3 linked regions of the Mus musculus genome follow. The protein of the gene in region 1 purifies or fractionates together with the protein of each later gene. This does not show direct contact. Links are inferred from orthologs where the notes say so. Each region holds a gene or a part of one and is shown in the gene's direction. Other genes may lie near its edges. The genes, in order: Tradd, Birc2 and Casp8.

Evidence for each region.
Region 2: the proteins of Tradd (region 1) and Birc2 purify together in Homo sapiens (affinity purification with western blotting; 3 studies listed by BioGRID and IntAct, with this or other methods). This does not show direct contact. The link is inferred for Mus musculus from reciprocal best matches to the Homo sapiens genes TRADD and BIRC2.
Region 3: the proteins of Tradd (region 1) and Casp8 purify together in Homo sapiens (affinity purification with western blotting; 6 studies listed by BioGRID and IntAct, with this or other methods). This does not show direct contact. The link is inferred for Mus musculus from reciprocal best matches to the Homo sapiens genes TRADD and CASP8.

The regions. Positions count from the first base shown.
Region 1 is NC_000074.6:105,261,768-105,266,024, reverse strand, and holds the start of Tradd (tumor necrosis factor receptor type 1-associated DEATH domain protein), read left to right. Parts: upstream 1-1,430; 5' UTR 1,431-1,464; intron 1,465-4,257. UniProt on the Homo sapiens protein: Adapter molecule for TNFRSF1A/TNFR1 that specifically associates with the cytoplasmic domain of activated TNFRSF1A/TNFR1 mediating its interaction with FADD.
Region 2 is NC_000075.6:7,830,480-7,834,124, reverse strand, and holds part of Birc2 (baculoviral IAP repeat-containing protein 2), read left to right. Parts: coding exon 1-620; intron 621-3,645. UniProt on the Homo sapiens protein: Multi-functional protein which regulates not only caspases and apoptosis, but also modulates inflammatory signaling and immunity, mitogenic kinase signaling, and cell proliferation, as well as cell invasion and metastasis.
Region 3 is NC_000067.6:58,794,009-58,798,303, forward strand, and holds the start of Casp8 (caspase-8), read left to right. Parts: upstream 1-1,365; 5' UTR 1,366-1,730; intron 1,731-4,295. UniProt on the Homo sapiens protein: Thiol protease that plays a key role in programmed cell death by acting as a molecular switch for apoptosis, necroptosis and pyroptosis, and is required to prevent tissue damage during embryonic development and adulthood.

The DNA.
Region 1 (4,257 bases):
TACAGTATATTCACATACATTAAATACATAAATTTTTTTTTAAACAGAAGTCTCTGCTCAGAATAGTAAATCTCCCTAAAGGCTTAAAGGTATAGTTCCAGTGGTTGTGCCTACACACACACACATACATACACACACGCACACACACACACACACACACTTTCCTATCTACCCTCTCTTTTTTTTCTCTTTTCTCATCTCTGCTGTGTGGCCCTGGCTGGTATTGAACTTGAGAATACTCCTGCCTCAGTGGTTTGGTTTTTCTTTCTTTTTTAAAAAATAGGGTCTCACTGTCTAGCCTTGGCTGGCCTGGAACTCCCTATGTAGACCAGGCTGGCCTTGAACTCACAGAGATCCTCCTGCCTCTGCCTGGGAAAGCTATGACTAAAGGTGTGTGTCACCAAGCCTGGCCCTCACTGGCTCTTCAAACTACTTTCTCGTGTGTTGAACAAATGAGAAATAGGTTTCAAGTTGAGGAATCCTGTCCACTAGAAACTGACTGTTGGGGCTAATCAGGCACCAGTCTTAGAGAATATTTTTTGTTTGTTTCTTTTTGTCTGAAATCACAGGCCAATCAGGAAGTGATGGGCGTCCCAGAAGGGGAGTCACCTTTACACTGCCTCCACCCCCTAGTAACGGACTGACTTCCTGCATGCTTTCTGTGACAGACCTGTGGTAAAAAGCTTGTGGCTCTGTCTGGGGCCGGACCGCTCTGGCACCCTTGAGGAGCTGTTGTTCAAGTTAGGACCCTGACCCTCGCGGAGCCTTGGTTCCTGCTAGCTAATAAAGACTCGGGTGGAACCCTGCAGACACACCCCAGAGCTTGGCTTTTACGAGAGGGGTGGGATCGGAATCTGCGTTTTCTCTGAAGCTGCCAGTTTTGCTTCAAAGTGCTGTAAGGTTTTTGTAAAGGTTCACACTTGCCGTTTCATTTCCCCATGTCTTCCAGGTGTATGGTCTCTCGTGGAATTTACCTCAAGTATACACTAGAGTTCCCGGATACTCCAAGCTAGGCTTGTCCTGGAACCACAGCACCCCATTTTCTGTGTTAAAGACTAGCAGAGATTAGATCATCAAACCAGATTTCCTAGGGGGCGCCAGAAAAAATTCTCATCTCCAGGAGATGCCCTCTGATTGAACCCCAGGAACTAACTTAAATTTGGCGGCTCTCACTCTGAAGCCCTTTCGGCTTCAAAACCCCCAAACTGCTATGTCCAGTGGGCAGTTCGTCCTGCCATCTAAACTTGGGTGTCCGTTATCTTACCTGCTCAGCGGACTAGGTGGGCTTTACCCGGAGACAGGGGACTGGCCACGGAGGACAGCTAGGGCAGGAAGGAGAGGCCCTGGGCGGAGAAGGCGGGACGCGCGGGCGGACCCGGCGACTCTGCTAGGGCACCGCCCCTGCGTCTCCGCGCACACCCGGAAGCCGCGCGCAGCAGAGCCAGGCGAGTGTGCGGCGGCCAGGTTAGTGCGGAGGGTGGGTGGGCTCCCTCGGTGCAGCCCCAGCAAAGCGAGAGATCTGGCTTCCCGAGGGCGAGCACCGCGCGGTGGTGACACGCGATTGCTGGCCAGTTAGTGGCAGCGGCCGGTCGGACTGTTTTGGTGGGAGGTACGAGGGACTTCGGACCTCCACCTTCTCTGGTTTTTTGTCCCAACTAAGGGTTTCTGGTGGGTGTCAGGGCCCTGCGGAGGAGGGGATATGGCTGCAGGGCTGGCCGGGAACGGTTCTGAGAACCCTCTTCCTGTCTGAGCCCAGTCGTGCGCGAACCCCCAGTTTGAAGGTGGGGTAGTGGGCAGACTGGGAACCTTCCTAGGCCAGGTCGCTTACTGCGCACCCGAGCAGGGGGCGTGTTCTGATGGTCTGGGAATCTCAAACTTTCTTTGAGTTGGGAGCCAAGCCCTTCCACCTAGCCAGAAGTGGGGCTACCTGGGGACTGTTATTTGTTAATGAGACCGGACATCTGGGTAGAGTCATTTGTTCTGGAACCCAGCGTAGAAGCCTCCTGGTGGAAGGAGGCCTGAGAAGGATTCTTTTTTCATTTTGGTTTTCCGAGACGGGGTTTCTCTGTGTACCCCTGGCTGTCCTGGAACGCACTCTGTAGTGCCAGGCTGGCCTCGAACTCACAGAGATCTGCCTGTCTCTGCTTCCTGAGTGCTGGGATTAAAGGGGTGCACCACCACCACTCGGTTTGGAAACGAATTTTTTTTTTTAAAAGACACACACACACACACACACACACACACACACACACACACACACACACACACGAGATTCAGATGCACCAGAAGAGGGCATCGGTTCCCATTACAAATGGTCGTGAGCCATCATGTGGATGCTGAGAATTCAGGACCTCTGAAGAGCAGTCAGTGCTCTTATCTGCTGAGGGAAGGATTCCTAAGGGGACAGTGAGAAACCAGTTCCCTCCATCTTGTCTGTTCTATTAACCTCACTTCTCCAACTCCGCGAACTCCAAGGCGGCTATTTCCCCTATTTGCCCAGTACTAGTGAATTTACATATCGATTACTCTGCCATCTCCAGCTCTACCGCACTTGTGCTGACAGGCCTGGTGGATAGTACCCCGACACACACCAGTACAGTTCCAAATCTTCTCCTACCCCTTGGGATGGGATCACATCCATGGGATAGAAGGGTAGGAAAGTGAACTAGATGTTTCATGAATCACGAGCTACTTCTTAGACGTCCTTGCTTGTTTTATACCTCGGTAGCTGAAGAGTTACATCGTGATGTTTTTGCCTTACTTTTTACTAAAGACATTTATGGGCTGGGGTGGGGCTCAGTGGCTGAGAACTACCGTACACCTGGCTCAGGGTTCAATCCCAAGTACGGAAGTCACTGGAGCCCTGCCCTGTAGAACTTCCTGGTGTTCTTGCTCTTGGTTCCTGAGGGCTGAGGTTACAGATAGGATGCCATCACCTCAAGTTCTCTCCTTTTCTTTTTTGGCTTTTTGAGCCAGGATCTTACTCTGTAGACCAGGCTGCCCCCTCAAACTCAGAGATTTGACTGCCTCTGCCTCCCGAATACTGGGATTAAAGGAATATTTCATTTACAATCCACCTCCTCTGCTTTTTTTTTTTTTCCTTTTTGAGACAGGGTTTGTCTGTGTAGCCCTGGCTGTCCTGGAACTCACTCTGTAGACCAGGCTAGCCTCAAACTCAGAAACCCACCTTCCTCTGCCTCCCAAGTGCTGGGATTAAAGAAGGTGTGTGCCACCACCGCCCAGCGACTCTTTCTTTCTTTCTTTCTTTCTTTCTTTCTTTCTTTCTTTCTTTCTTTCCTTCCTTCCTTCCTTCCTTCCTTCCTTCCTTTCTCTCTCTCTCTCTCTCTCTCTCTCTCTCTCTCTCTCTCTCTCTCTCTTTCTTTCTTTCATTCTTGTTATTTGAGACAGGGTTTCTCTGTGTAGCTTTGGCTGTCCTGGAACTCACTCTGTAGACCAGGCTGGCCTCGAACTTAGAAATCCACCTGCCTCTGCCTCCCGAATAAGAAACATGTCTCTTATATATAAAGTAGGAGATATTGCTTAATACAAAGAAAATTAAAACCATCCCAACCTGCCCAGAGATAGACAATAATTTTCAGACTGTTTTAGTAAATATATGTATATTAGTATTAAATTTTCTGATGGAAGAGGAGTTTCAAAAATCTATGTTCCTTAGCTGGGCAGTGTTGATGCACGCCTTTAATCCCAGCACTTGGGAGAAAGAGGCAGTGGATCTCTTGAGTCTGAGGATAGCCTGGTCTACAGAATGAGATCCAGGGCAGCCAGGGGTACCTTGTCTCAGAAAACAAACACCCCAACAAACCAACCAACCAAAAACATACAAAAACCCCGTGTCCCCATGCTTAGACCTAGATAGGGCCATGGACAGTTCATCATTTCCCTCCACCAGGTCTATGCTATGCCCTGCCCAGGTGCTTTCTTCTTAACCTTGACTCTCTATTAGAGGTTTGGAAGCAAGATTTTAACAGGAGATGGATGGAAGTGATCCTGGCGTTGAGGGGCCCTCATGTCTCATGTGGAAAGTTAGGGAATTTGTTTAGGAATAGCCAAAGAGAACACGGGCCCAATCACAAAGCAGGATGACTTAGCGCGCATAACTGAGCAGTCAAGGATGGTCCGAGATAGCTGGATCCGTGAGTGCATGTCCTGTCCTCAGGCGGGCGTGGCAGCACTTGCAGATAGACCGCTGTGAGTCAGAGGCCAGCTTCCTGTAAAGGGAATCCAGACCAGTCAGGG
Region 2 (3,645 bases), on another chromosome or scaffold:
GCCAGTCTGCAGTCTCCATCTAAGAATATGTCTCCTGTGAAAAGTAGATTTGCACATTCGTCACCTCTGGAACGAGGTGGCATTCACTCCAACCTGTGCTCTAGCCCTCTTAATTCTAGAGCAGTGGAAGACTTCTCATCAAGGATGGATCCCTGCAGCTATGCCATGAGTACAGAAGAGGCCAGATTTCTTACTTACAGTATGTGGCCTTTAAGTTTTCTGTCACCAGCAGAGCTGGCCAGAGCTGGCTTCTATTACATAGGGCCTGGAGACAGGGTGGCCTGTTTTGCCTGTGGTGGGAAACTGAGCAACTGGGAACCAAAGGATGATGCTATGTCAGAGCACCGCAGACATTTTCCCCACTGTCCATTTCTGGAAAATACTTCAGAAACACAGAGGTTTAGTATATCAAATCTAAGTATGCAGACACACTCTGCTCGATTGAGGACATTTCTGTACTGGCCACCTAGTGTTCCTGTTCAGCCCGAGCAGCTTGCAAGTGCTGGATTCTATTACGTGGATCGCAATGATGATGTCAAGTGCTTTTGTTGTGATGGTGGCTTGAGATGTTGGGAACCTGGAGATGACCCCTGGATAGAACACGCCAAATGGTTTCCAAGGTAATTGGTTCTTTTGTTTGTTTTCAAGTCTGGGTTTCTTGGAGTAGCCTTGGCTGTCCTGGAACTCACTCTGTAGACAAGTCTGAACTCAGAGATCTACCTGCTTCTTCCTCCTGAGTGCTAGGATTAAGGGTCTGTACCACCACTGCCAGCCTTGATAATTGGTTCTTAAAAATGTTTATTGTGGCATGGAGGATTGAACCCAGGGCCTCATATCTGGTTGACAAGTTTTCTTGCCTATATACCTTACCTCTTAATTTTTATTGTTTAGAATAAATTTAGGAACACATTGTTAGTGTATTACAATTAGAAATTTTGTATTTGAAACTGATCAGCTATGTGAACTTGGATTCATTTCTAAAATGAATGGACGGTGTTAGTTGTTTTTATTGTGTTAAAATACACATAAAATATACTAATTTAGCCATCTAAAATTTAATCTTCTGTAGTATAAAGTATATGTGTACTGTTTTTTAGTCATCTCCAGACTGAAACTGTATCCCATACACTTGTAAGCACACCCCTGGCACCTACCCTTCTGCCTACGATATCTGAATCTACTTTAGTTACCATAGCCACAACACATGTAAGTGGAATCATACAGTAAAGAGATCTTGGACATATGCATGCCTTCTGTGATAATGAGGAATCATTGGACTCCTTAGGGAATTACAGGAACTTTTAGTCATTTTTTGTATGGTACATGATGAACAGGAATTTTGATGTAACTATTTACATTGTTAAAATATAAGTAGTTTAAAATTATATGATGGGACAGGTAGTGCACCTATGTCAGTTTGCCTTTAATCTCACCGCTGGGAGCAGAAGCATGCATTCTTTGTGAACAGAGACCAGCCTGGTCTACAGAGCAAGTTCAGGTCATCTAGGATTGCATAGTGAGACCCTGTCTCAAAAACAATTATCATGAAGAATCATCAAATTTGTATGTTAGGTCCAGTGTAATGTTAACATTCAGGATTCTGACACCACTTTGAAACTACCCTGGGTTACTTAGAACTGTCTCAAAAAAACAAAACAAAGAGATAAATTTTGACTTTGTTGTTGTTTTTGTCCTGAAAACTGATGTACTTAATTTACTTAAAAGTGTTAATTTTGGCCAGTTGTGGTGGTTTACTCTTTAATTTTAGCAGTTTGGAGGCTGAAGCAGGAGTGTTCCAAGGTCAACGATAGCTTGGGCCTCATTGTGAACCCCAGACCAATCAGTAGTGGAGGTCAAAGAACAGCTCTCCTTCCACTGTGTGAGTTTGGGGATGGAATGCAGGTCATTAGGATTGTGGCAGGAACTTTTACATGCTGAGCTATCTTTTTTTTTTTTTTTTTTTTTTTTAGATATTTTCTTCATTTACATTTCAAATGCTATCCAGAAAATCCCCTATACCCCCCTCCCCCTGCCCTGCTCCCCTACCCACTCACCCCCACTTCTTGGCCCTGGCGTTCCCCTTTCCTGGGGCATATAAAGTTTGCAAGTCCAAGGGGCCTCTCTTCCCAGTGATGGCCGACTAGGCCATCTTCTGTTACATATGCAGCTAGAGACACGAGCTCCAGGGGGTACTGGTTAGTTCATACTGTTGTTCCACCTATAGGGTTGCAGACCCCTTCAGCTCCTTGGGTACTTTTCTCTAGCTCCTCCATTGGGTGCCCTGTGTTCCATCCAATAGCTGACTGTGAGCATCCACTTCTGTATTTGCCAGGCACTGGCATAGCCTCACAAGAGACCATGCTGAGCTATCTTGAAAGCCCATAGAGTTTAAGCCTTCTGTTAATGCAACAAATTTGGCAAGTCGTTTCAGAATCACTTGGAGTTTGGTTTTTAAGAACGTGTTTGGAAAACAAACCAACATGTTCTCCATAATATTGTGCTAGTATGAATTTAGTCTTCATTGTTGGGAAAAAAAACAACAATATAGGAAAGCATGTTGCCTCCAGTCTGCCTTGTAGCATCCAAGAATTCTCAGACTAAAATGTCTCAGACATTGGTACCCTGGGGAAAACTTACAGTTGCTAATGTCTACAGTTTGGATTGAAATGTCAGTTTTAAATGATGAAATCATTTAATTGGCCTTGTATGTTATAATTTGAAGTTTAACTGTTGTATCTAAAATAAAAAAAAACATTTTAAATTTTATTTAAATTGTTATACTTTGTAAAACAAAATTCCTCACAGTTTTAAATAGTTAACTAAGGGAACCAATGTTTTGTGTCAGTGCAGCTCTGAACAGGTTTTAGCTGTAACTATCTTTGATCTCAATAAAGACAAACTGTAACAGATGATCACTAGATTTTAGTATATACAGTTCACTTATTTATCAAATATTTAGGTACCTTCTAAGTAATATTTTAGGTGCCAAGGATTATAATCTGTTGGGAAGGAAGAGTGGAGAAGGAGCAAGTGTACAGTAGTCAGGACTTACTGTACTATGTCTTTATTATTTTGCTGGTTTAGTTTTTGTTAACTTGACACAAACTGGGGGTCACTTGGGAAGAGGGGACCTCAGTTGAAGAATTGCTTCAATCAGATCTTAAAGTAGTCTGTTTTGTAAACTAGTAACTTAATTTCATTTGTATACAAAAACTCTGTCTCTGTCCTTTCCAACAGTTCATGGCTTTAATGTATCTTTTAAAGTTACATCCATTGTTTCTTTTTCATATGATAACTATAGCTGCATACTGTCTTTATAGAACAATTGCAACTATAGTTACAGCTACAGTTACTTTCAGCTCTGTACTGGGGTAGTACTAAGACTGAATCTGGGCCCAGTGTTTGACTGTTATTGTCTGCAGTAGTCTGAAGGTGATTATGTATTTGTCTTCACCTGTAAATTTTTTACTTTCTTATGCTTTTGAGAGGTGCTTATTGTATTCTTTCTTTATAAGCTTACATTATGTGTTTTGTTCTCTTGAAACTCACCAAGCTCCCTGAAGATGAGTATTAATTGCTTATCTGGCAATATCTACCTTTCTCTTTCTTCTTTTGAGTTGGATCTTGGAAAATTATTTTGTTCCT
Region 3 (4,295 bases), on another chromosome or scaffold:
GATATAGATCTATATCTACCACCCTGACTGCACAAAACTCTAGTCCAAGTGTATCAAGAACCTCAACATAAAACCAGATACACTAAACAAAGAAGAGATAAAGAAAATGTGGTATATTTACACAATGGAGAATTATTCAGAGTTAAAAAAACAAGACAAAACAACCAAACAAACAACCCCTAACATCATGAAATTTGCCAGCAAATGGATGGAACCAGAAAACAAAAACAAAAACAAAAACCTATCCTGAGTGGGGTAACTCAGACCCAGAAAGACAAGCATGGTACGTACTCACTTATAAGCAGACATTAGCTATAAATTACAAGATAATCATGCTACAATCCACAGACCCAGAGAGGCTAAGTAACAAGGAGCCATCTCCCTAGGAGGGAGAAATAGAGTAGGTATCATGGGATTGGAACTGGGGGCATGTGGGGATGGGAGCAGAGGGATCAGGTTGGGCGAGGATGGAGGGAGAGAGTATGGCAGAGAAGACTGGAATGTGGGGGCTAGAAACCTATCAGGGTGACCCTTGCTATGACTCCTAGTAATGAGGGGTTTGGAGCTGTCTGCTGTAGCCAGGCAAGCCTTCCAGTGGAGAGACTGGGACACCAACTCAGACCCCAAACCTCTGACCTACCATTTATCCTGCCTGCAGGATGTGCTGGAGAAAAGATGGCACAGAACTTGTGGGAGTCTCCATCCAATTACTAGTCTCTCTTGAGACTTGTGCCACAAGAGGGAGGCCACCTCTGACACTGAATTCATGGAGGTCAGGAACAAGAGGCTGGATGCCCCAGACAGCTAAGATAGAACTGAACATGACCAAAAAAAAAAAAAAAAAAAAAAAAAAGCATGAAATGTTTTCTAATCATATTCTGCCATACTTGTAGACAGAAATCTAACATAGTCGCCATCAGAGAGGCCTACAGCCACACAATAGGCAGAGCTTGGGGAATCCTACAGGATATGGGGAGGAAGGATTGTAGGAATCAGAGCTCAAGGGCACCACAAGAAAACTCACAGAATCAACTAACCTGGCCTCATAGGCACTCACAGAGACTGAACCAACAATCAGCGATCCTGATGGATCTGACCTAGGCCCTCAGCATAGCTGGTTGTTTGGTTCAGTGTGAAATCACTTTCTTCTTGTAGTTGGCTCCTTTAAACTTTGTGTGTGTGTGTGTGTGTGTGTGTGTGTGTGTGTGTGTGTGTGTTCGTTCGTTCATTCCATTAGCTCTGGTTCCACTGTCTCTGGGATAGCCTGGAACTTGCTTGTTCTAATCTTCCTGTCCCTACCTCCGAGAGTGCTGACATTTCTAGAGCAGAGGGTTTCTGCGTGAAAGGAGGTGTGGTTGGACTGGGGGAATAAGGAAGTGTCCTCCAGAACTGGCGGGAGCTCTTAAGGCGGGCAGAAAGCGAAGCAGCCTATGGCCTCTAGGGCTGGCACCAGGATGCCACCTCTAATGATTAACTCAAACGCCTCTAAACATTCGGAGGCATTTCTGTCCCCTATGCCCTAGTTCTCTCAGTTGTCTTTCATTCTGACTTCGGTGCTTAAAAGTCCAGCTTCTCGGAATCGGTAGCAAACCTCTGTGAGCCGGCGTGGAACAGGAAGTGAGTACAGTTCTGGGGAGCGCCGGCCCGGGCTGGAGGCTCGGAAAGCCCAAGCCAGCGGAGGCCTCGCCCGAGCTGGAGTTGTGACCGGCGCGGCAGGTACTCGGCCACAGGTGAGTGCTGCAGAGCAGTCGGGTTCCTTTCCCACCAGCGGGCCGAGATCCCACCGGTGGGTGTCGATCTCGCGTGGCGCTCCCCGAAATGCAGCCATCGGGGTGCCGTCGCCGCCTCTCCAGAAAACTTTATTGGACTTCTTAGGCTTACTTTCTTTGTAGTTTGGCTCAGGACCTGGAGCTGAGTTAATCCTCCGGGGAGTCCTCTAGCTTGAGCTGCGTTTCCTCCGGCGATTTTCGTGCTCTTCCCAACTCAGACGTCCATCAACTCTAATCCCAAATTCTCTCTTCCTTTCTCCTTCTCCTCCAACATCTCCCCTCCCTTTTTCTCTCCCTCTTCTTCTCTTTGCCTTCTCCTCTCCCTCCCTCTCCTCTTCCTCTCTCCCTCCCTCCCTCTGTCCCTCTTTGGTTTCATGATTTCCTGCAGAAGCTCAGGCTTCTTGAACTTACGACCTTGCTTCCACCTCCTGAGTGCTGGCAGTACAGGGGGTGGGGGGTCGTAGGGCACTAGCTCTGCACTTAAAACACCAACCCCCCACCCCCTCACCCCAACCCCCACAGAGAGGGGATGAGAGAGGAGGGAGGGAGGGGGCTACAGGTGACCTGAGGCCGGTAATTCCTCTACGTGCTAAGCAGTTGTAAGGGTGACTGGCTTGTTAAGTACCTGTAAGGAATTATCATACAGTCATATTTCTGTTTCTTCTTTCTTTCTTTCTTTCTTTCTTTCTTTCTTTCTTTCTTTCTTTCTTTCTTTCTTTCTTTCTTTCTCTCTCTCTCTCTCTCTCTCTCTCTCTCTCTCTTTCTTTCTCTTTCTTTCTTTCCTTCCTTCCTTCCTTTCTTTTCTTTTCTTTTCTTTTCTTTTCTTTTCTTTTTTCTTTCTTTTTTTTCTTTTTCTTTTTTGTCTTTTTAAAGGGAGTCCTCTAAGTGCCTTCTGCTTGGCTAGGTCTCAGTTTCATTCTTTAAAAAATTATTTATTTCTATTTTAATTTCATGAGTATGAGTATTTTGCCTGCATGTATGTATGTGCACCTGGTACTGGGCGGGGGGGGGGGGGGTGGCGGCACAGATTCCTTGAACTGGATTTACAGACAGTTTCAGCCATTATATGGGTGCTGGAAACTGAACCCAGGTGGTCTGCAAGAGCATTGAGTGCTCTTAAACTCCTGAGTTGTCTCATCGACAAATCTTTCTTTTTTTAAATAAATATGGCATTGATTGAATTAGCATGAGGACGATTAGTGCTCCCGTTTCTTACAAACCTATTTAAAGAAGACTCAAGAACTCGTATGTGGACACAGAGGAGTTGCTGGTCATGGCTGTGTGTCTCCCATGTCTCTTTCCCAGGAGGGAGAAAGGTGACCCCATAGCAGGCCATTTAGCTGTTATTTGATTTTGCCCAGTAATTTCTGTTTGTGGGTAGGTTCACTCCAGGAACTAATATGATTTCTCCAGCAGCCTGCATAGCCTGACCACCTCACCCTATCAGGTTGCTCTTTTTTCTTTTTCTTTTCTTTTCTTTCTTTCTTTTTTTTTAATCTTCCAACTTAAAAGAAATTCTAATAAGAAAGTGGGCATCTTCTTGCTTTATTTGACATTCCTCGGATTTACTGACCCATGTGATGTGTCATCCTATGCTCTCATGGGCTTAGTGCCTATAGGGGAGCTCCATGTGTTTTTTCCAGCAAGACCACACCCCCATTGCCCCTGTACAGAGGTTCATTGCCTCTTTACACAGTATCTTCTCATTGATGATTTTCAGGCTGTTGTTATGTGGTTCAAGTATTACCATGAGAGCTTCAGTTGCTGCACTCACAGGAAGTTCGTGGTCTCTGACAGGAAATTCTCAGAAAACAGTGAGCCAGAACTGGGGTAGAGGTTATAGAGGATGCTGGGAAAACTATAGTAACTCCTGGAGTGGACTGGGCCACAGACAGGATTTGATTTTGCTGCTTCCATGGTGCCCAGGTTCCTGGGCAGAATCAAATGCCAGCTAAAGGTCCTGGTACGATGGTGTCACCTTTGCCCAGACATCGAGGGTGGACATATGCTTTTGGGCGCCTCATTCAGTTCCCTCAGCTGTGAAGTTGGCGCTCTTTACTCTGAAAGTTTACATTCTATTTTAGGTAGCAGAAAACACAGTTTCAAAGTCCTTTTCTTTTTCTTCTCTTTAACACCAGAAAATATTTTAACTAATTCCCAGCAAGGAGCTTATGTGTTTGTACACAGGTTTGCTCACACAATGAAGGACCCAGGGTTTGCCTCTTTGGGGAGTTTGCTGTAGGAAAGCCCTGATTTTGACTTTAGGCTTATTTTTTGTTTGTTTGTTTGTTTGGTTGGTTGGTTGGTTGGTTTTTTTTGTTTTTTTGTTTGTTTGTTTGTTTGTTTTGTTTTGTTTTGTTCTGTTTTAGCTGTAAGTAGAAACTATCGAACTAGGAGCAAGGAGAACATCCCTGTGTAACAGTAAGACTTAGCTGTGGAAGTCAGCAAACCCTCAAAGCCCAGGCAGGACTCTAGGCCCATCAGAGGTGAAACACTTCTGGGGCCTATTTTTGCTAGTTAATAAAA